Elephas maximus indicus: one gene and its partners. The protein of the gene in region 3 purifies or fractionates together with the protein of the main gene of each other region. This does not show direct contact. Links are inferred from orthologs where the notes say so. Each region holds a gene or a part of one and is shown on either strand. Other genes may lie near its edges. The genes, in order: IFT57, POC1A and CORO1A.

Region 1 (8,003 bases), on a different chromosome or scaffold from region 3:
AGTAATGTAGGTACAAAGTCCAGCTCTCTTACCCCAAATTAGGACACGTTTTGTGGTGCCAGTCACACTCCAGAGCGCATCTCATGGTGCCAGAAATCCGTAGTGCACAATTTCGCATGAGTTTCACCACATCTTAGCAAGTAAACACAAGTAAGTCTGTGCCTATCTGGCTTACTGTAAGCCCATGAACATCTTGCTTACTGGTTAATCCAAACATTGTTGGTTGTCACAGTTGGGGGTGGGGGTGCTACTGACATCTACCAGGTGGAGGCCAGGGATGTTGCTAAACATCCCACAATGCACAGAAGAGCTCTCAACAACAAAGAATTATCAAGTCTACGATGTTAAAAATGCCAGCGTCAAGAAACCCTGAACTAAAACACACCTAAAACCCTTTAGCATGGCACAGGGGCCTAGAGACTAAACAACTGGCATTATATCTTCTTCAGTGTTTATAGATCCTTTATTCTACCTAAGTACAACATAGGTTAGTTTTTTTTTTCTTTAAAATTTGTTTTTTGCTTATTTCAAGAAATCCTTCCCTACCTTCAGATTAAAGATACTTTATTATATTTTTTCTAAACATCCAACAAATATTTCACATTCATATCTTTAATCCATATGCAATTTGTGTGATGAAAATCAGAGATGTAATTGATTCCATATGGATTGTCCATTGCTTCAACAGCATTCATTGGATAGTTTATCTCTCTCCACTAATCGGTAACACTGACTTTGTCATATACAGAGTCCCTACATAAACCTTCACCTATTTTCAGGCACTACATTTTCTCCTTATTTGTGTGATATCATTATTTTAAGTTATGCTGTTATTAGGAATCTTGCTATCAGATGTGGTGATCCCTTCCTCAAGCTTCGTTAAAATTTGCATATGGATTTCAGGATGAACCCACTAGGAATTCAAGTTGAAATTCCACTGAGTTTATAGATTGGGCAAAGATATTGATTTTCTTTCCATGAACATTATACCCCTATTTAGATTTTTCCATGACTTTCAATAAAGTTTAGTAATTTCTCCACAAAGATAATGATAGATTTACTCTTAGGTACTATATATGGTTTGTTATTGAGAGTTGTTTTCTTTCTTTTTTCCTAACTACTATTTCTAATAACTTTTCTTTAATTTGGATATCACATACAGCAATCTTGCTGTGCTGTCTTAGTAGCCTGTCTGCAGATTCTCTTGGATATTTTACTTAGTCAATCATATCAACTGCAATAGTTTTTTTTTCTTTTGTAATACCCCTATTTTTTAATTTTTTTTTTGTCTCTGTACACCGACTCTGATCTCTAGTACAGTTTTGAATTCAGAATGAATGTCTTCACCTTGATCTCAGCTCTAGAAGTCATGGCATCTAATGCGTCATATTTAAATATGACTTTTTTCCCCTAGATTTTTAGCAGACATTTTTTATTAGATTAGAGAAGCATTATTCAGTTAGTGGTTTTCTAAGTTTTTAAAGCCATGAATGAGTGGTACTAAGCCACTTTATAACACAAAGCAGCTTGGTTCTTTAAGCCTGCCCACTTTTCTTGGAGGACTTGTTCTTATATTTGGAGATGCAGCTTGAAAGCCTTCTTCAGTCTTTGAACCCATCTCCTTTTCGCCTCCAGCCTTGCTAAGTACTTTCAGAGAAATCTATTTAGCTTAAATAAACTTTCATCGGAATGCTGTTCAGTCAACTTTGAATGAGAAGTTATTCCATTTTCAGAGATTAGGCCATTCACTGGAAGACACTGAGGGCCTCAAAATCACCTCTGGTCATCTTATAGATAGTTTGCAAAAGATCAAAGTCAAAAGCCCAGCTATGAACTGTGGTAACACAGTAGAGCCAGGGATAAATCTCTCTTAAGATCCTTTAAAGGCAGCATGAACATACTTCGACATTACATTCTCTTCAAGTCCTCACTCCTTTGTCAATGCATTTCAGAGCCAGTCCTGTAAAAAAAAAAAAAAAAAAAAAACTAACACAAAGGTACTCAAAAGTTTCCAAGTGGCTCAGACAGGATTTGAGTGTGGGTTTGCTCACATACGTGAAGGATACTACTTCCATCAAGGAAAAGACCTTTTGGTGTGTTATCGACTATTTATTGTGGGTAACTAAGGAATCAGGAAAAATTACTCCTGAGACTTATAAAAATAAAATGACATTTTACTGTTCTTCCCCACATTTTTGCTGTGGGAAAACACAGTGTTCAAAAGTTGGCTTTTCTTTTATTTCTTTCATTCTCTCTGTGCTCCCACAGTTACTGAAAAAGCAAACCAAACCCATTGCCATCGAATCAATTCAGACTCATAGCAACCTTATAGGACAGAGTAGAACTGCCCTATAGGGTTTCCAAGGAGCAGCTGGTGGATCTGAACTGCTGGCCTTTTGTTTAACAGCCAAGCTCTTAACCAGTGCACCACCAGGGCTCCACTACAGTTATTGGGGACATTTTGTTTTAGTGTTGTTGCTTTTTTTCTTTTTAAGACTAAATTAAAAAGGGAAGAATAATTCTTCAAACAGCTTTCAAGCCAGGCTAAGTCAATATTGTACCTGAGAAGGAAACAGCTAGGTTCTAGGAGAGTCTCCCCACCCCATGAAAGTACATTCATCATTTTTGGAGAGTTCTCATCAGCCAAAAAGCAATGCTTGACTACTTCACACTACATGCTATACAAGTCCTGAAAACATCAGAGCATCTTATGCAGGCATCATGCTCCAGGTGGACATCCATTTTCCTAGGTGTAACCTATTTACCGTTTGACTTCTGACACCTTTTTCAAAGTCATTTTAAAAGCCACAGGCTGCTTGACCGAACACCCCAAAGTATGTATCTCAGCTTTTACTGATTTCTTTTTCATCCTAAAAAGCTATATCCAGCTGTTTTGTGCTCTGAAAGTTATACACGCATACCACAACACACTACACTTCCCAAACATGTGGTAGTGGGGATGTATGGGGAAGAATCACTCCTTCCACAGGGCTAAGAAAAAGAAAGACCAGTTTGACAGTGGGATAGAGTCAAACCCAACTTTCGTGCTTATTTTTATTTTAAAAAAGCTGATTAATGACTCATCATGGAAACAATGTTATTTAAAAAGCATTTCTCAGTTGGCCTTCCCTTTTGAGTTACTTTCTACATAGGTCAGTTTTATGGTGTTTTTTTTTTTTTTTCTTTTCCTCTTTGTATTTCCTCTCTTTCGTAACTAGGAAAAGGTATTTGCCTTTATGATTTTTCACTTTGATACTTTTATCAGTATCAAATTCGTGAGCTCTAGATGGATATTAAAATGAAAGTGCTCTTCTGCTCATTTCGTCTACCAACAACAATTACAGGCACATTTAAAACTTCAGCTATGTCAAAAAGTGCGACTCTTCTATATATTCACTGGCAGATACAAGAGATCAGAGATCCCTCACATTAAACACAAAACTCGTGTTCAATCTGGTAAGTTTTCATCCCTCAGGAAACCTCCGGGCATCTACCAATTACCTCATACTTTCGGTGACCCATTAAAAACCCATTGCCATCAAGTCAATTCTGACTCATAGCGACCCTATAGGACAGCTGTTAGGAAAGCTGCTCCATACACAGGCTGCCGAGCACTGGAAAGCCGGTCCATATAGTGGTCAGTTAGTCCCCTTTCTTGCATGTATATTTTAGGTCAATAGCAAGTAACAAGTACCACCTGGTCTTTAGCCGCATTTAGCGCTATAACCAAAAAACCAAACCCGTTGCAGTGGAGTGGATTCCGACCCTACAGGACAGGGTAGAACGGCCCCATAGAGTTTCCAAAGAGCGCCTGGCAGATTTGAACCGCCGACCTTTACATTAGCAGCCGTCGCACTGAACCACTACGCCACCAGGGCTCCCTTTAAGACTACAGCGCAGGGAGATTCTTGCAAGATAATCTCCTTTATTTTGTTGGTGTTGACAAGGTACCCCAAAGCTGCATGCTGCATGTAATGGGCTTAAACCACTGGGCAGCGGGCTGAGCGGAGCGTGGTTTTGGGAGCAGAACGAACGCTCCCGAGGTCCCCGTTTTGCTCGTCGTCTCGGTCTGTCCTCTTCCACCGCCTCCCCAGCAAGCCCCTTCCGAGCACTCGGGTGGCGATGGGCCTTTCGTCACGTATTATAACACGCCGTTAAATCAAATAAACCACTGCCTCACAAGGTAGAGGTTAAGTTTTTTAAGAAGACTCTCTCTTTGAAAATTCCTGCGATAAAGTGAAACCTACAATATCGACTGCCTTGAAAACTTTCAATATTGAGAAGAAAAAAAAAAATCAGCGGGATAGCGAAGTTATCAACACTAAGCCTCTCGGTCTCCCTTTCATCTTGCCCACCAGCAGGCCCAGGCGCCGGCCCCGCGGCCCTTAGCAACCAGCCGGGCACGAAGCCCCGCCCCCAGGGAGGCTGAGACTCAGGAACGCGGGCGGCCCTTAGCAACCAGCCGGGCACGAAGCCCCGCCCCCGGAGAGGCTGAGACTCAGGAACGCGGGCGGCCCTTAGCAACCAGCCGGGCACGAAGCCCCGCCCCCGGGGAGGCTGAGACTCAGGAATGCGGGCCAACCTTAGCAACCAGCCGGGCACGAAGCCCCGCCCCCGGGGAGGCTGAGACTCAGGAACGCCGGCGGTCCTTAGCAACCAGCCGGGCACGAAGCCCCGCCCCCGGGGAGGCTGAGACTCAGGAATGCGGGCCAACCTTAGCAACCAGCCGGGCACGAAGCCCCGCCCCCGGGGAGGCTGAGACTCAGGAACGCCGGCGGTCCTTAGCAACCAGCCGGGCACGAAGCACCGCCCCCGGGGAGGCTGAGACTCAGGAACGCAGGCGGCCCTTAGCAACCAGCCGGGCACGAAGCACCGCCCCCGGGGAGGCTGAGACTCAGGAACGCGGGCCGCCCTTAGCAACCAGCCGGGCAAGCCGGGGCCCCCCCGCCAGGGGAGGCTGAGACTCAGGAACGCGGGCGGCCCCGCCCCCTGAGAGGCCGAGAGGAACGCGGGCGGCCCTTTGCAACCAGTCGGGCAAGCGGCCCCGCCCCCGGAGAGGCTGAGACTCAGGAACACGGGCGGCCCCGCCCCCGGAGAGGCTGAAAGGAACGCGGGCGGCCCTTAGCAAACAGCCGGGCAAGAAGCCCCGCCCCCGGGGAGGCTGAGACGAACGCGGGCGGCCCCGCCCCGCCTTTAAGCCGCCGCGGGAAGAGGCGCGGCCGGACGTGGGGCACGGAACGCCACGCCTCCAGGGGCGGGGCTGCCTCCGAGCCACCTCCTCCCTGCCGTCGGAGGGGCGGGGTCCGTGGTGACGTCACCTGGAAGGCCCGCCCCGGTTGGAGGGAATTTAGAAGTGACGCGGAGGTTCCGGGATGGAGGCGGAGTCTAGTTTCCCTGGTGACGAGTTGCCCGATGGTCGCCTAGCAACGGGAGGCGGCGGTCCTGGCGGCCGCTGCGCGGGCGGCGGAGGCCGGAGCCCTCGCCGGAGTCTCTCTGTCTGTCCTGCGATGGCTGCCGCCGCCGCGGTGGTCACGCCGTCGGGCCTGGAGGACGGGGTATCTCGGCCTTGCGGCGAAGGAGCCGGAGAGGTGGCCGTGGAGCGCGGGCCCGGCGCGGCCTACCACATGTTCGTGGTGATGGAGGACCTGCTGGAGAAGCTGAAGCTGCTCCGCTATGAGGAGGAAGTCCTGCGGAAGGACAGCCTGAAGCCCCCGTCCAGGTGGGTCCCTTCGCCCCGGGCGCCTGGGTGCCGGCCGGGCCCCGGGGAGGTGCCTTCCCCGTCGGGCCTGCTTCGGGCGCCGAGCGGGTCCGCGAGCCCTGCCTCCACCTTCCGGCCGGAGCGCGCGCGGGCAGTCACCCCGAAGCTGGCGGCCGAGGGCCCCGACTTGGCATTTTTGTGGAGCAACAGGTTTGGGAGCGGCAGGAAGGACTGGGAGACAGCCTTCCTGTTTAAAACATACACAGGCACCTCCAAAAAACGCAGGCTGTGTTTTACGGTTCTAAAAGGAATAAAAACATCCACTCTAGATAACTTAGAAAAGCACAAGAAACTGTGTGTAGAAAAATACTAAAATCACCCATAGTGTCGTCCCCAGAGACGGGTGCTGTTACCGTTCCGATCTCTGTCCAGTATTTGTTGTCCTCTCTGAGAACCGGCCCCTCCTACTACCTTGCTGAGCACTTTGTTTGCAGTTAGTGAGCTTGTTGACTGACTGCTGTGGTACTCTCAGAAACCGAAAGTGGGAAAGACAAAGAAAACGACAACCCCTGGAATTGTCCCCGTACCCTAGAACCTAAAGTTCAGCCCTTACTCTTGGTGGGCAAAGTTCGTCACATCCTGAAGGCAGTGCCGTTAGCTGCTGAAGGGAACGGACGGGAGCACTTTATCCTCCAATCGGGGTAGCCTGGCTGTGGCCCGACAAGAACGTTTTATAGCTTTGTCATCACGTTAGAGCTCACAGGTGTTTATCTTGTTGTATAACAGGTAGATTAGGAATCTTTAGCACTTCCTCTTAATACCTATAGGTAAACTCAAATAATTTCCCTTGACAGTTTCCATCTCATTCTTCTGCTCTCTTAGGACGCTTAATCCCCTTGACTGCACGGCAAGTGCTTTTCTTGGTTCATGCTAGGTAGGCTGGATGGGTACTGTCGATATTGCTAAGTCAGCTCTTAACGGCAGAAAAGTAGAGGGAAAAGAAGCAGTGTTGCTTGATCTATGATTTAAATTGTGGGATTGGGAGTTACTAGAATGAATTGATCAGGTTAATATAGACAGCTTATATTTTCTGTTAATCAAAATGATAACTTTTTTTTTTCCAAGTATATTTTTGAAGCTAAAGGAAAATGACCTCAAGATTTCTGTTGCTGTCAGCTCTGTACGGTTTCCTCAGGGGTTCAGCAGGATACTTTGAATCATGGATCCAAGCGGAGATACCCTAGTTCAGTGGCTCTAAAGTGAGGCCACCAGACCAGCAGCATCAGTCTCACTTGGGAACTTACTAGAAACGCACTTTCTCAGACCTGTTCCCAAGTCTACGGCATCAGAAATTCCGGCGGTGGCACCTAGCGGTCTGTTTTAACAAGCCTTCCAGGTCGTCCTGGTGTACACTTAAGTCTGAGAACCACTGACCTAGGCCTATCAGTACCTATTCTCTGTCCTCGAGGGATTATCCTGTAAGGAAAAGATGAGTTGTTGGTGGGTGGGTGCTTTGAAAGGGTTGTAAACACATACCTGGAAGGGCTTCATGCCCCCCCCCCCCCGCCCCGCTGCCCGGCTTTTTTTTTTTTCTCAACTATATGTTACCATTCAGAGCATTTACACCTATCGCAGGACAAAAAGTTGGGGAAACATGAAGAAGCAGGCTGCTGATTGTTATGAAAAGTGGCAATGATAACTATGATATAAACATAATAGTAATAGCTACAAATAAAAAAAGCAAATTAAGATTTTTGATCAAACTGACTCAAATGTTGTTGCTAACATGTTTTGTTCCACACATATTTAGGTGTAAATTATATTGATCTTCGTAGGACTGTTTTCAGTCGGCTAGGAGATTTAGCAAATTTCAACAAATGTTTGTTAGAGTGAGAATGAACTTCTTAAGCCTCTCTGTACCTTAGAACCATCTAGCGAGCTTTTAAAATACTGGGGCTCTGCTCCCAAAAGCTCTGATTTGATGCATTGATGAGGGAAGAGGCAATGTTTGGATGGGCATCAATATTTTTTATGGTCTCCTCAGGTGATTCAAAGGAGCCCAGTAGCACAGTGGTTAAGCACTCACTTGCTAACTGAAAGGTTGGAGGTTCAAACCACCAGCTGCTCCACGGAAGAAAGATGTGGCAGTCTGCTTCCATAAAGATTACAGCCTTGGAAACCCTATGGGGCAGTTCTCTTCTGTGTTGTAGGGTCGCTAGGAGTCTGAATCGACTCTATGGCAATGGGTTTGAGTTTTTTTAGTTCAGTTGATTCAAATAATGCAGCCAAGTTGAGAACAACTGAT
Region 2 (7,045 bases), on a different chromosome or scaffold from region 3:
AAAGAGACAAGTCCAGGATGTCAGATGGCAATAATTCCCCGGAAGAAATACAGACGGGAAAGGGTGAGTGGTGAGCTGACATTTTACATAGGGTAGTCTGGGAAAGCCACGCTGAGAAGATGGCATCTGAATAAAGACCTGATGGAAGGGAGGAACTGAGTTAAGTGGACACTGGGCCAACAGCCAGTTCAAGAGTCCTGAGGTGGGAGTGTGCTTGGCACATTCTCGTTCAAGGAACAGCAGAAAGGCCAATGTGGCTGGGGCAGAGAGAGCCAGGGAGAGTGGTGGGAGCCAACGCAGAGAGAGCCAGGCCAGATCACTGGAGCAATGGAGGGACGTGATGTGACTGAGGTTGTAGTAAGAAGCCACATGTATTAGGTGACAACTCAACATCAAGCTCTGGCATGAATTTATAGCTCACGGAATCCTCTCTCCTCCACTGTGGAAAACATATTATGCCTGTTTTACAAACGACGACACTGAGGCTCAGGGAGGTGAGGTGACTCCTCCTAGGTCACCCAGCTCAGAGGTGGCAGGGTCTGGATTCACCCCCAGATCTGTCTGACCCTGGGACAAGCCCTGGGCTGCTCTGCTTAGAGTTTCCAACAGTAGTGCATCAGTAGTGCGGGGCAGACTTGATGGCCTTGATGGGGCTTTCCAGGCAGGGAGGATTCCAGATCGGGGTTTACCAGGTTGGGCTGGGCTAGGCCAGCGGGGATCACCCTGTCCTTCCTCCTCTTTTCTCTGCCATCCCAGAGTGACCTTGGCCCTTGGGCTGGGGGCTGGGGAGTGATGACAGGGCTAGAGGCTCTTGTAGGAGGCCTGCTGATGGGCTTTGCAACAGGAAGGGCACATCCTTGCCATGAAGGGTCTTGAAAAAGAAGCTCCCTTCTCACCCCCCACCATGGAGCATCCTCAACATTGAGTCCCCCAAACATGAAGGCCACGGTTAGAACTACAGTCTAACCTGATGGAGGTAGCACTTGGGTGGGGGGACACTGCCCTGTCAGAAAGTATAGGCACTGATCTTGGTTTATAAAGGTTGTACCAGTGTAGATCCTGGATTGTCTATGCGGCGTTGGCAAAGTCAGCCTCTTTGCAATTGTTGGCAAAGAAATGAACAAGATGGGGGGTAATAGAATCACGAGCTCCTTCTCCCTGGTAGGTAAGGGTACAAGACAGTGTGGTCTGGAAAGACGAGGGAGGGTGAGGAAAATCTTCCAGTGCCTCTCACTTTGAGCAAACCTGACATTTGAAAATCATTTTACAGAAGAATTTCTTTAAATTCACCTTTCTAATTTATGAGTTCCTATAGGGCATGTGTTATAGGTTGAATTGTGTCCCCCCAAAATATGTGTCAACTTGGCTAAGGCATGATTCCCAATATTGTGTGATTGTCCACTGTTTTGTAATCTGATGTGATTTCCCTACATGTTGTAAATGCTACCTCTGTGATGTTAATGAGGCAGGATTAGAGCCAGTTATGTTAATGAAGCAGAACTTTTGAGATATAAAAGAGAAGAGAGCAGAAAGACATGGGGACCTCATACCACCAAGAAATAAGAACCAGGAGAACATGCAACCTTTGGACCTGGGGTCCCTGCACTGAGAAACTCCTAGACCCAGGGAAAGATTAATGACAAGGACATTTTCCCAGAGCAGCCAGAGAGAGAAAGCCTTCCCCTGAAGCTGGCACCCTGAATTTGGACTTCTAGCCTCCTAGACTGAGAGAATAAATTTCTCTTTGTTAAAGCATCCACTTGTGGTATTTCTGTTGCAGCAGCACTAGGTGACTAAGATAATATGGGTGTGCCACAGGAACAACTGACAAAAACAAGACAAAATACCACCTAACGACAAAAGAACCCTTAAGTTTAACTGATTAGATTTTTTCTGTACTGTATATAGATTTTTTTCTTCCTTAACTTCCCCCCTTAAATGTTTGGCTGGCAGGCAAGAGAACATCTGAATAAGATGCCAATGTTGGTGGGAAGGCTCGAAAACTGTCCTTTGAGCAGCAGTGAACAGTTTTGGGGTGTGTGTGAGTGAACAGGTGTGCGTGTAGTTGTTTTATGGGGAGTTTCATAGTAGCCAAACATTTCTACGCCAAATCACAGGGAAGATGAGATTAAATGTACCTGTACTTCTTATGGAAACCCTGGTGGTGTAGTGGTTAAGGGCTATGGCTGCTAACCAAAGGGTTGGCAGTTTGAATCCGCCAGGCGCTCCTTGGAAACTCTATGGGGCAGTTCTACTCCGTCCTATAGGGTCGCTAGGAGTTGGAATCAACTCGACGGCATTGGGTTTGGGTGCTTCTTATATCTGGCCCCAGATTTTCCAGAGTCGAATGAGATACCTGCTGCTCCACATACAGCTGCCCCCAGTGCAGGTTCTGAGTTTACAGAACCAGGCTCTGGTTTGCAGGGGCAGGGACACCATCTCAGCATGCAGTAATAAACCTAAGGGCGTGCCAGATGCTTATCAGTGGTGGAGTCTGGCCAACCTGATCTGCCCAGAGGAGGTGATGGAAGGTTCCAGAATCTTGTAAAACATCCGGTCCAGGTCAGCTTCAGGTAGGGAATGTGCCCGGAGTGAGGCCTACCCAGAACCCAGGCCCAGTGTCATAGAGTCGAAGGAGTGAGGCCTAGTAAAGGAAAAGTCTGGGCCGGCCTGCCGAAGTAGAAAGTGAGCAGGGGCGGGCTCTGGTGGCAGGCCCCTGGATTGCCTTCTTCCTTCATTTAAACATCAGAAGGGAGAAGGACATCATGCTTGGTAAAATAGTGGGTCCTCGAAAAAGAGCAAGACCCTCAACAAGATGGATTGACACCGTGGCTGCAACAATAAGCTTAGACATAGCAACAATTGTGAGGATGGCACAGGACTGGGCAGTGTTTTGTTCCGTGAGACATAGGGTCGCTATGAGTTGGAACTGACTTGATGACACGTAACAACAGCAACAATAATTTATCATAGCTCCTCAGGTCTGACAGGTTCCTGGGTGGCCCAAACGGTTTGCACTCCGCTTCTAACCTACAGGTTGGTCTGTTAGAATCCACCCAGCGGCGCTGCAGATGAACGGCCTGACAATGAGCTTCTGTAAAAGATTATAGCCAAGAAAATCCTCCGGAACAGTTCTACCCTGAAACACGTGGAATCACCATGAGTTGGAATGGATTTGAGGGCAAGCGGTTTTCTCAGGTCTAAAGGCTCATGAGTCCGAATCGACTCGATGGCAACGGGCTCGCGTTTTGAAAGGCTCCTTAGAGGGTCAGGCCATATCACATGCCCTCATACTACAAATGGGGATACTGAAGCCCAGAGAGCAGATGAGGTTTTCCTAAAGTCACACAACGAAGCAAGAAGTGGAATCGGAACCAGGGCTTCGAACCAGTTCATTCCAGTTCTAACCCCTGCTGAGATTTGCTGTATACAAGTTCCGAGGCCTTGCTACGGCTGCTGGTTAGGGGCCAATTCTGTCCTCAAAATTTATTATACATAAGACTCACCTGGGGATCTTGTTAAAATGTAAATTCTGATTCAGTACATTTGTGGTGGAAATGTAAATTCTTCCAGGGGTTCAAACCGAACAGGTTTTAAGTCCAGATCAGAACCCAAGTCACTCTCATTCCATGGATGTACTTCCGAGGGACTTGTGCTCTTTTAAATCAACCCTTGTTTTACGCGCGTTAGGACAGGCGAACGATTTAAAGAGTTCCGGAGGGGCGAATAATTGGTTCTTTCAAGGGAATCTTGCCGAAAAACCAGCTGCGCCTGTGCGCATTGGTGCTTTAAGACAACACTAACACGGCGGCCACGTGTCCTCCACTTCCGGGACCCTTAAGGCCCTCGCTTGGGGTCTCGAAACCCGGCCCTTACCTCATGGCATCTCGGGAAATGTAGTTCCTCCTTTCTCCAGACAGGATAATGCGGGGCGGCTTGGAACTGCATTTCCCAGAAGACTCTGCTCGCCGGCATGGCAGCAGGGCAACAGGCAGGTGGGGAAAGTTGTCTTCCTGAGCTTTTTTAATTTTTGTGGAGAAATGAGCAACAGCGGACAGAAGCCTCTAGCAGCGCCTTGTGTGGGCTGTCTGGTCTGGCGCAACTGGGCGGAGGGCGCCGAGACCACGGAGCTGGCAATATAGCGCTGCTTCCGGTCGGGGGACAAAAATCTGCGGGCCGCCTCTCCTTTAATTGCAGTAGGCGGGGAGCGGTGGCGCGACCCGCGTTGCTATTGGCGGCGGTTGGGGGCGCGGAAACTGAACGGGCCGCAACGGCTGCTGCCGCTGCTTCTTAGAGCTCTCGGGGCTCCTCGGGCGACCCCAGCCCGGCGATGGCTATACCCTGCCCGGTAAGTCTCTGCTGGCAGCGGCGGGCGCCCGGTCTTAGTCTCCTCGCTGGGGCAGCGGGCGCCTGGCCAGCGTGATGGCTGCGAGAGAAGCGGATGGGGCGCCGGGTTCCGGGCCGATCCTCTCTTACCTCAGTTTACCCATTTGTGCAGGGAGCGCAGAGTCGGGACACTTACTGAGCGCCTCCTTCGTACCAGGCCCTGTGCAGGGCCGCTGGGGCGAAGAAACCAGTCCATGTCCCAGGGTTTGCATTCTAGTGGGGGATAGCCCGACTCGAGGTGTGACCTGGGGCCAGCGTCGGGCTTCACTGGCCTCAGTATCTCCATCTTGAGCAGTGGGTGGCTGGATGGGGGCCTTGTTGAGGACACGTCCAGCTCGACAGGAGGGAACAGCGGGCAGCTGGGATGCCTGGATTGGCCATCCTCTCTGAGTCCCAGGCTCAGAAAAGCCCCCTTCTTTTTGCGGGTTGTTTTGAACCAGCCTGGCCCTTTGTCTGGGTGGAGAGTCAGGGAGGCTGGGTGGCAGCCTGTGGCCTCCTTCGGTGTCTGGGGATTTGGGCAGAGGGCCCAGACTAAGATCCAGGCCTTTTGACCACTAATTTGGTGCCCCCCCCACACTTGAATAAACCACTGGATTGGGGGAGACGAGGCTGGCCTATGGGGAACACAGAACCTGTGGGATTAAGGGAGGGGGGCTTGAGGGAGGCTTCAAGGGCCCCCAAGTCAGCGGTGCACCTGAACTTGCCTCTGTGCACTGAGCCTAGAGGTGGACACTGTCTTGCTCTTGTTCTTCCAAGAAGCTCAGGTGACAGCTCGGTGGTCATGAGGCAGTTACTTACTACTATTTTGTGGGGGCCCCAACTGCCATTGCCTCTTGTTGAAAAGGGACTTAGGCAGGTGTGTTGGGGGTGCAGCTGGGCACAGCTCTGTGGGGTGGTGGCCGCCTTGGTCTACCCCAAGGGCATCCTTTCCCAAGAGGAGGGCTTGCTGAGCTCCCTGGGGACACCCAAGATACTTCTTTGAGGTTTCTGATGTTTGGGGTGGTGGGACATGTTTTGATGGCTGAGTCAGGAGCTCTGTGTCTCTGGAGAAATTCCCCAGAATATTCTCGCCTTTGTCTGCCAAAGCAGTGCCTGAATGGCCCTACTGCTCTCTGATGTTGTTTAAGTGGCGGCGGCGGCGGCAGCTGTGGTGATGTCACTACGGGCCTGTCCAGGCGTAGCTGATGTTATTGATTGAATTGTGTTTCCCCAAAATGTGTGCCAACTGGGCTGGGCCATGTTTCCCAGTATTGAGTGATTGTCCACCATTTTGTCGTCTGATGTGATTTTCCTACATGTTGTAAATCCTACCTCTATGATGTTAATGAGGCAGGGTTAGAGGTAGTTATGTTAATGAGGCAGGACTCACTCTGCAAGATTAGGTTTTATTTATGATTTTTTATTGTGCTTTAAGTGAAAGTTTACAAATCAAGTCAGTCTTTTACACAAAAATTTATATACACCTTTTTATGTACTCCTAGTTGCTCTCCCCCTAATGAGATAGCACACTCCTTTCCATCCTGTATTCCCTGTGTCCATTCAGCCAGCCTCTGTCCTCTGCCTTCTCATCTCCCCTCCACACAGGAACTGCCCACATGATCTCGTGTGTCTACTTGAGCCAAGAAGCTCACTCCTCACCAGTATCATTTTCTATCTTACAGTCTAGTCTAATTCCTGTCTGAAGAGTTGGCTTTGGGAATGGTTCCAGTCTTGGGTTAACATAAGGTCTGGGAACCATGACCTCCGGGGTCCTTCTGGTGTCAGAGCATTAAGTCTGGTCTTTTTACGAGAATTTGAGGTCTGCATCCCACTGCTCTCCTGCTCCATCAGGGATTCTCTATTGTGTTCCCTATCAGGACAGTCATTGGTTGTAGCCGGGGACCATCTAGTTCTTCCGGTCTCAGGCTGATGTAGTCTCTGATTTATGTGGCCCTTTCTGTGTCTTGGGCTCATAGTTAACCTTGTATCTTTGGTGTTCTTCATTCTTCTTTGCTCCAGGTAGGTTGAGACCAAGTGATGCATCTTAGATGGCCGCTTGCTAGCGTTTAAGACCTCAGACGCCACTCACCAAAGTGGGGTGCAGAATGTTTTCTTAGTAGATCTTATTGTGCCACTTGACCTAGCTGTCCCCTGAAACCATGATCCCCAGACCCCTGCCCCTGCTACTCTTGCTTTTGAAGCTTTTGGCTTATTCAGGAAACTTGTCTGCTTTTGGTTTTGTCCAGTTGTGCTGACCTCTCCTATACTCTGTGTTGTCTTTCCCTTCACCTAAAATAGTTCTTGTCTACTATCTAATTAGTGAATACCCTTTCCCTCCCTCCCTCCCCATCAAAGAATATTTTCTTCTGTGTTTAAACTATTTCTTGAGTTCTTATAATAGTGGTCACAAACAATATTTGTCCTTTTGCAACTGACTAATTTCACTCAGCATAATGCCTTCCAGATTCCTCCATGTTGTGAAATGTTTCATGGATTCATCATTGTTCTTTACTGATGCATAGTATTCCACTGTGTGAATATATTAGGTTGTATTTTGAGTCAAACTCTTTTGAGATATAAAAGAAAATCAACTAGAGAGACAGGGGACCTCATACTACCAAGAAAGTAGTGCCAGGAGCAGAGCAGTCCTTTGGACTCGGGGTCCCTGAACTGAGAAGCT
Region 3 (7,638 bases):
CAGTCCCAGAGCTATCTGGGCAGACCCCGGGAAGGCTGGCCACAGGTAGCGCAGGATGGAGGTGTGGGCTTGGCACCAGGTGGCACTGGGTCCTTTTCCTGCTTGCTGTGTGACCTTGGTCAAGTTTCTTATCTCTATCTCAGTTTCTTATCTGTGCCCTGAGAGTCAGCACCAAGTGGACTCTCTGGTCTCCAGGCTGCCCCCAGCTTTTCCTGTCGGGGTGAGGCTTCCATGGGTAAGACAGGCCAAGGCCCTGCCCCTGGTATAGGTGTGTGTGCGTACAGTGTGAAGGATGGGTCGAGTTGGGCTAAGGTTCTGCAGAGAAGTGTGTGTGAATGGTAGGGCTACAGGGATGGAGAGGGGCTGGGGAGATCTGTCATAACTGGCCCCTAGGAAAGAGCAGAGGTTTAGAAATGGCCACTTCCGGGGACAGCTCGTGCAGCAGCGCTTCCTGTGTGCAGAGCCGCCCAGGGTGCGGGCCCAGCTCTCACCCCAACAACCACTTCCTCTTCTCTTTGCCTCCATCGGCCCTTTTAAGGTAACAACCTAGGGCCCATCTCCCCTTCCTGTCTCACCCTCCAAAGAGCATAGGAGTGTGCTGATAGCAGAGGTCAGCGGACAGCAGGGGAAGGGGGAGCAGGATCAGAGGGGGCAGGGTTGGGGGAAGGGAGAAAGCCTCTTGCATCATCCATGCCTGTGAGCTGGGGGCTGGGGCTTCAGCCTGGTTACTCAGGCAGGACCAGACTCAGGGTACTCCCAGCCCCTGAGAGCAGTGCTGGGCCTGCCCAGCCCTCATCCCAGCCCACTGTGTGCTCCTGACCGGAGGAAGCCCTGGGCTGAGACTTGGGAGACCAGGCCCTGGAACTGCATGGACTCACTGTGTGACCCTTCTCATGTCATCTCCTGCCTCTGAGTCTCAATTTCCATATATCCACCGCATGTACGAGCTAGAGGAACCTTAAGGCTCATCTGGCCCAGCCCCATTTTACAGATGACAATACTGAGGCCCAGAGAGGCTTGGTGACAATCAGGAACCCCAGGGACCATTGGATGGCTAGAGGTACCCTTTGGTGGAGGAGCTGCTACTCCAGGGTGCCAGGGGCTCACCTTGCCCAGGGGCAGCACCAGGAAGGCCCCTCCCCCACTGGCTTCACAGATCAAGGCCACAAACTTGGGGTTGACGGCGCAGAAGCCACTGTCCCAGGTGGTCTGTGAGACCCGCACATCCTCATAGCACTGGTCGGCCTTGGCTGGCTGTCCGAACACATGGCGGAACTTGCTGGAGCGGACCACCTGCCGGCTCATCCTAGGGACACACAGGTCGGGGCTTTTTCTCCCTTCAGGCCAACTCTGACCTTACCTGGCCCCCTACCTTTCCCAAGACACCCCTCAGTCTAGCATGGAGCCATGAGCTCATTTCCCCACCATCATCTCCTGGGGCTCCTGCCCCTTACTCTCCTCTTGGGCACCCCGCTACCCCCACTGTTAGCCTTCCCCACCCCCTCCTCACTCCTGTTTAACCTGCAAGGCCTGCCTTCACCCAGCCAGGTCACTCTAAGCCACCCCTCAATTCTGTGTCCACAGAGCATGGTGTGGTGCAGGCAACCTAGTGCGTATTTGTTGGTGGATGACAGCCTTTTCTTTCTAATGGTTCAGTGTTGGGGGCCTCAGCCCTGGCGGTTTTGAGGATGGTTCTTTCTCGGTCACGGTCACGATGCTTAGACCTCACATCCCTCGCACCCACATGGGGAGCTTCCAGAAGGCAGGGGCAGGGGCTGGCCCACCCTCCCCTGGCACACGGCTGAACACACAGGAGGCAGTGGCGTGAAGGTTTGCCCAGGGGCATGAGGTGGCAGGACAGCTTCCCCAGGAGGTCTCTGGGCACCAAACACAGACAGATGGCTCCAGTCCCGGTATGGCCTCCTCCCCCACACCTCTGCCTCCCGCCTTTACTCAGAAAATGCAGGTGCCTTGAAGGGCCATCTCCACCCTCACTGCAACTCCCTGCAGGAAGGGAGAGGCTGGCGCTGGCTTCTCTGCCGTCCAGCTGGGGCCAGGCAGAGCGCATGAAGCCGAGGGGATTGCCTCCGGATTCCCCAGGCTCCAGCGCTGGTCCTGGCGCCACCTCGTCTCCTTCCTCCCCAGTGTAGGGCCCGTGTTGCCTCCTCCGAGGGACCCCCAACACCTCTGCACCACCCTCCCCCCGGCTGGCTGCACCCATTTTCTCTGCCCTCAGGCCTGTGCCCTTCTCAATGGGGCTCCAGCCCTCCTTGCCCACCCTATGACACCCTCAGGAGGCTGCTAGGTCTGCTGCCCATGGGGGTGGGGGTGAGGAGCATGTGTGAGAAGCAGCCTGGGGCGGGGTCAGTCGCAGGTGACAGGCCTGGGCCTAGGGAGAGGGGAGCCCCAAATCAGAGGCTGGGGGGCAGGAAGCCAGGGCCCCATCCTGCCTCCTCCCTCACCACAGGTACCAGGCCCGGAAACCATGAAAAGGGGAACTTGGTCTTTTCTTGTTTTGCTCTCAACCCCTTCCTGTCTCTAAGCTCAGGACAGCAGCTCTCCTCACCCTACCCTGCCCCTCACCCTCTGCCCACCCCCAGACTCCCATTTTGGGAAGACTCAAGGCCAACATGTGTCCTGAACTCCTCTGCTCGAGCTGCAGACCCTCTGGGTTCTCCCACCTCCATCTTGTCTGTGGTGGTCCCACACCCTCACCTCTTCAAAGCTCCCCAGACACACAGATGGATATGCACACACTCGCAGCCCACACTCAGGGCCAGTGCCCTCCATGTGGGGACGGTTAGAGCCAGCTCTCCCTGACAGTCTGTCCACCCCCACAGCCACGGCTCCCACGCTTACGCCTGCCCCACAGGTGGCCCAGGGCAGCAATGCCCAGCCCTCCAGCCAGCCCATTCCCTCTTCCCCAGAGGTCCCAGCCTTACCTGCTGCGAAGAGATGAGAGTGACCCCCCAGATGGAGGAGGAAGAAGAGGAGGAGGAGGAAGGAGCTGGAGGAGCTCGAGGCTCGCTGAGGATGCTCTTGTCAAGACAATGAATGAGAACCGCCGACCGCCCGCCTCCTTAGGGGTGGCAGTGCCCCTTTGGGGCGGAGCTCTTAAAGGGACTAGCCCTTCCCTCCTCCGGAGGGGCCCGCCCGCCTGCCTGGGACCCGAGCACCGCCTCCCTTCCCTTCCCTCCTTGGAGAACCTCAGTCAGTGCCTGACGCTGCCAATTCCGAACCAAAACAGCTGCCGTTGGATGGTCGCTAGGACTTTAATCTGAATTTTTTATAATGTCAAAATGCAAAAATACTCTGTTCTTTCTTCCCCTCTTCAGTCCACCCCCAGCCTACTCACCATCCTTTCACTGTTACTTGTAAGAGCTCCCGCCCCCACTTCGATCAGGCCTTTGTAAGAGCCCCCACCCCACCCCCAGCTAAGGCTGTGCTGCTTCCACCTTCCCCTTCCCAACCCCACAGACTGGGGTGGGGGGAGGAGGCGCGGGGAGGGTAGGGAGACAGGACAAGGGAGAGCCAACTGGACCTGGGCCCAGGGGACCAGGGTTCTTGATCTGAGCCTGAATTTACAAACAGGTGGCCCTGGGAAAGTCACCTGACCTCTACGGGTCTCCTTCATCACTTGACCTGCCTGCTTCACAAGTCTGTGGTGAGGAACAAATGAAATTTTGGAGCACCTACTTTGTGGCACGGTGGTTAAGCGTTCAGCTGCTAACCAAAATGTCAGCAGTTCGAATTCACCAGCCGCTCCTTGGAAACCCTATGGGGCAGTTCTACTTTGTCCTATAGAGTCTCTGTGAGTCGTAATTGACTTGATGGCAATGGGTTTGTTTTTTTTTTTACTTTGCAAGGAGCTGCAGAGGTGAATAGTTGAGGGTCCCACCTTTAAAGAGCTCTAGTGGAGGAGGGACAAGCTGGTAACAGCGCTAAGGGTGCTAAACCAAAACCAAACCAAACCCACTGACTTGAGTCAATTCTCATAGAGACCCTACAGGACAGAGCAGAACTGCCCCATAGAGTTTCCAAGGAGTGCCTGGTGGATTCAAACTGCGACCTCTTGGTTAGCAGCCATAGCACTTAAGCACTACACCACCAGGGTTTCCTAAGGGTGCTAGATGGAGGCAAAGGCACAGCTTGAGAATCAAGAGGAGGGAGTTCATTTGACTCGGGCTCAAAGGAGGTCTCCTGGAGGTAACAGCACAGGAGACTGGAAGGGCCTACTCTAGAATGAGATTGTTTTGAGGGTTTGACTCCTGGCTGTCACACCTACAAAGTAACTTTGGTTACTCAGCCTTTTTCAGCCTCAGTTTCTTCCTCAATAACAGAGTCATATATCTACCTCTCAGGATTATGGAGATGATTAACTAAAATTATCCAAGGAAAGCAATAAGCACTGTGTCTGGAGCATAGCAAGTGCTTAATAAATGTTAGCTCTTATCATTATTATTGTTTACAGAACCATTTGGGCTGGACCTGGAAGGATGAGAAAGAGCCAACAGATACAACAGGAAGAGAGTCTTCTAGGCTGAGGGGCAGCCAGAGCAAAGGAACACCAAGGAGCTGGTTCACCACTTCTTGGCTGGGTGATCTGGGGCTAGACCTTGGAGTACTTACTTTGTCCAAGGAGTTGTAGAGGTAAATGAGTCAGGGTCCCACCCTTAGAGATTTGGGGCTGCTCCAGAAGACAGACATAAGGCCAGCGCATGGAAGTTATGGGGAAGCACAAGAGTTACTCCAATGGTAGGTGGTGGAGGCCCTGGCACGTGGCTTATGAGTGTTTAAGAAAGGGCTGATGCCTTCTGTGGGGTGTGCTGGGGTGGGTGTCCCTGAGGGTAGCCTCTCTTGTTGCTGGCCCAGCATCTTTTCTTACACTTCCCTTTACTGGTGGCAGCACCACCATTTTCCTTCGGTGACTCAGCCTTTCCTCACAGGCAGTCTGTGAGGTTTGGTTGGGGATCCAGGGTAAGCATAGGATGCAGACTGACCCAGTCAAAGCAACCTTTTTGGCTGGTTCAGGGATGGCTACATGACTGAAGTCTATACAATCAGAACCAGACTTATCTCGGACCTGCTAAGAAAAAGAAGCCTTCTTCCCACTGGGGGTTAGTAAGCTGATATGTTGGAAACCCAGCACTGGTCATGGCCATCTTGTCGCCATGTAAGAAAAGCTTGTCAGAATGAGTCCATACAAGGATTGCAGAGGCGAGATATAAAGGCTGACATATTCGTGACATCATTCAAGTATCTGGATCAAGCTGTGCCTGATCCCCTTACCCTTTCTCTTACATAAGACAATAAATTCCTTTTTGTGTGTGTAAAGCAGTTTGAGCTGGATTCCTGGCACTTGCAACTGAAAGGGTTCTGACTGGTACACTCACCCGGGAGGGACACTGGACCAGGGGATCGTCCAAGGTGCCAGATACATGTGGTAAAAATTGACTGAAATAGTGAACTATGGGATAAAATCCAAACGCCTTAGCGATGCCTGTAAGACCTTCTCTGATCTGTCCCACCCTAAAGGGGCTGTAGAGTTTGATGGAGACAGCCAGACCTGGAAAACCCTAGCTTTATCATCTCCTCGCTGCCCCTGAACAAGTGATGTTTCCTCATTTACAAAATGTACGCCATCATACTCACTATAATATAAAGACTAATTGAGACCACGTGTATTAAATGCCATGCCTCGTGCCAGTAATCACCCATTATTGTGTTGGCATACTTCTCCTCTCCCCGGATGTCCTAACTGGAGAAAGCCTGGCCCTAGAACCATGCAAGTAACATGTTGTCCTTGGGAAGTCACTTCCATTTGGGGCTTTCTGCCCTTCAAACGGTAAAGTGCCGTATAAACATATGGAAGGGACTGTTATTTCCCACCCTTTCTTATTCATTCATCCACCCATCTATCCATCCGCTCACCGGGTTATTATGTCCCAGGCAGTGTGCTTGGTGCTGGGGATCAGACACTAATTAGACACATCTCTGCCTTAGAGCACACCTGGCCTAGAGTGCCCTGAGACTTAGTTCCATGCCTTTAGGTGGAGCTGTAGGCAAAAGAGGAGTCCCTGGGTGTAAACAGTTAATGTGCTTGGCTGTTAACCGGTGGGTTGGAGGTTAAAGTCCATCCAGAAAGCCCTCAGAAGAAAGGCCCTGTGATGTACTTCCAAAAAATCAGCCACTGAAAACCCTGTGGAGCACAGTTATACTCTGACACACATGGTGTCACCATAAAGACAGAGTCCTGAGAACACTGTCAGAGTCCCTGGATCCAGCCATACTTGAAGCTAGCCCTTTTCAGTTACATAAAGCAATAAATTTTTTTTTTTCCCTTAACTAAGTTTGAGTTAGGTTTCTTTTATTTTTTTAGTTTTTGGTGGAAATAAGGTTCTATTTTATCTGTTCATTTAATTTTGAGTTAATTACATTTTTAAGCTTTTATTCTAGACATTTTCAAATACACAGCATAGAAAGAATTGTATTTAAGAAACCCCCTTTCACCCATCACCCAGCTTGAATAATTATCAACACATGGCCAATATTGTAAAACAAATTCCATACCTCATAGCATTTCAACTTAAATACTTCAGCATTTACCTCTAACAGGTAAGGACTTCTCAAAAAAAAATCTCTTCGCATGTTCAATAAAAATTGCATTAAATTTATAGGTTAATTTGGGAAGGATTGACATCTTTATGATAGTCCATCTATGAATGTGGTATATTTCTCCATAGATGTTATGTCTTTTATGTCCTTCAATGTAATTGTCAAAATGGCATGGGAGGGGCATCTGACCTCCCCTAACTTCACAAAGAAGGAGAATCAAGATCAACAGCCAAAGGCTGACTCCTGTGAGGCAGAGGTCAGACATGCCTCCTCTCTCTACCACTTCTACCGGTTCTAACACCAACTGTCCCTCCCCCAGTACTCTCTACTTGTCTGTTGGGTTCAATAATTCATTGCAATGGTCACACAGAACTCACAGACAATACTTATGATTATGGAGTTTATTAGGGAAGTAAGAGGTTACGATTCAGGCTCAGGAACGTTCAGGATACAGTTCTTCCATCAGGACAGCCTCGTCCGCTGTGCTCGCAAGCATGCCTCTCTCTGGCCCCTTGGCCTCTGCCCTACTCAGGCAAGTGTTACAAAGCTCTTCTAGCTCTGCCAATAATGTGGCCAGAGGCACCCTACTCCACCAGTAAGCCTCGGCCCAAAGGCACTCAGCTTTCTCGCTCTGTGGGCCAGGAAACCCACTGCACCGTCACTCTTGCCAAGTCTCTCCTGCCGTTTCTCTGCCACTGCTTCTTGCTGTCTTCAGTGCTACAGCTCCTTTTCTCTCTCTCTCTCTTTCTCTCTATCTCCCGGTTCCAGAAGCTTCTCAGTGCAGGGATCCCGGGCCCAAAAGACACACTCCACTCCTGGCTGTTCTGCCTTGGTGGTGGTGGGATCCTCTCTCTTCTCTGGAACTGTCTCTTTGTAAGCCTAGCAGGATGACAAAACTGACCAATACCCTTGGTGGGCCACAATTACCTTATTTGTACAGTCCCACCCAATCACTGGGTGGGAGTTACAAGAGCACGGAAAGACCACATAAAAGTGATCCATTGCACCACAATAATGCTTTGC

The links.
Region 1: the proteins of CORO1A (region 3) and IFT57 purify together in Homo sapiens (affinity purification with mass spectrometry; 3 studies listed by BioGRID and IntAct, counting the BioPlex papers as one, with this or other methods). This does not show direct contact. The link is inferred for Elephas maximus indicus from reciprocal best matches to the Homo sapiens genes CORO1A and IFT57.
Region 2: the proteins of CORO1A (region 3) and POC1A purify together in Homo sapiens (affinity purification with mass spectrometry; 3 studies listed by BioGRID and IntAct, counting the BioPlex papers as one, with this or other methods). This does not show direct contact. The link is inferred for Elephas maximus indicus from reciprocal best matches to the Homo sapiens genes CORO1A and POC1A.

The regions. Positions count from the first base shown.
Region 1 is NC_064836.1:80,386,926-80,394,928, reverse strand, and holds the start of IFT57 (intraflagellar transport protein 57 homolog), read left to right. Parts: upstream 1-4,911; 5' UTR 4,912-5,372; coding exon 5,373-5,719; intron 5,720-8,003. UniProt on the Homo sapiens protein: Required for the formation of cilia. Plays an indirect role in sonic hedgehog signaling, cilia being required for all activity of the hedgehog pathway.
Region 2 is NC_064838.1:56,371,132-56,378,176, reverse strand, and holds the start of POC1A (POC1 centriolar protein homolog A), read left to right. Parts: upstream 1-4,024; 5' UTR 4,025-4,330; coding exon 4,331-4,348; intron 4,349-7,045.
Region 3 is NC_064830.1:89,072,787-89,080,424, forward strand, and holds the start of CORO1A (coronin-1A), read right to left. Parts: upstream 3,066-7,638; 5' UTR 2,943-3,065; intron 1,307-2,942; 5' UTR 1,306-1,306; coding exon 1,108-1,305; intron 1-1,107. UniProt on the Homo sapiens protein: May be a crucial component of the cytoskeleton of highly motile cells, functioning both in the invagination of large pieces of plasma membrane, as well as in forming protrusions of the plasma membrane involved in cell locomotion.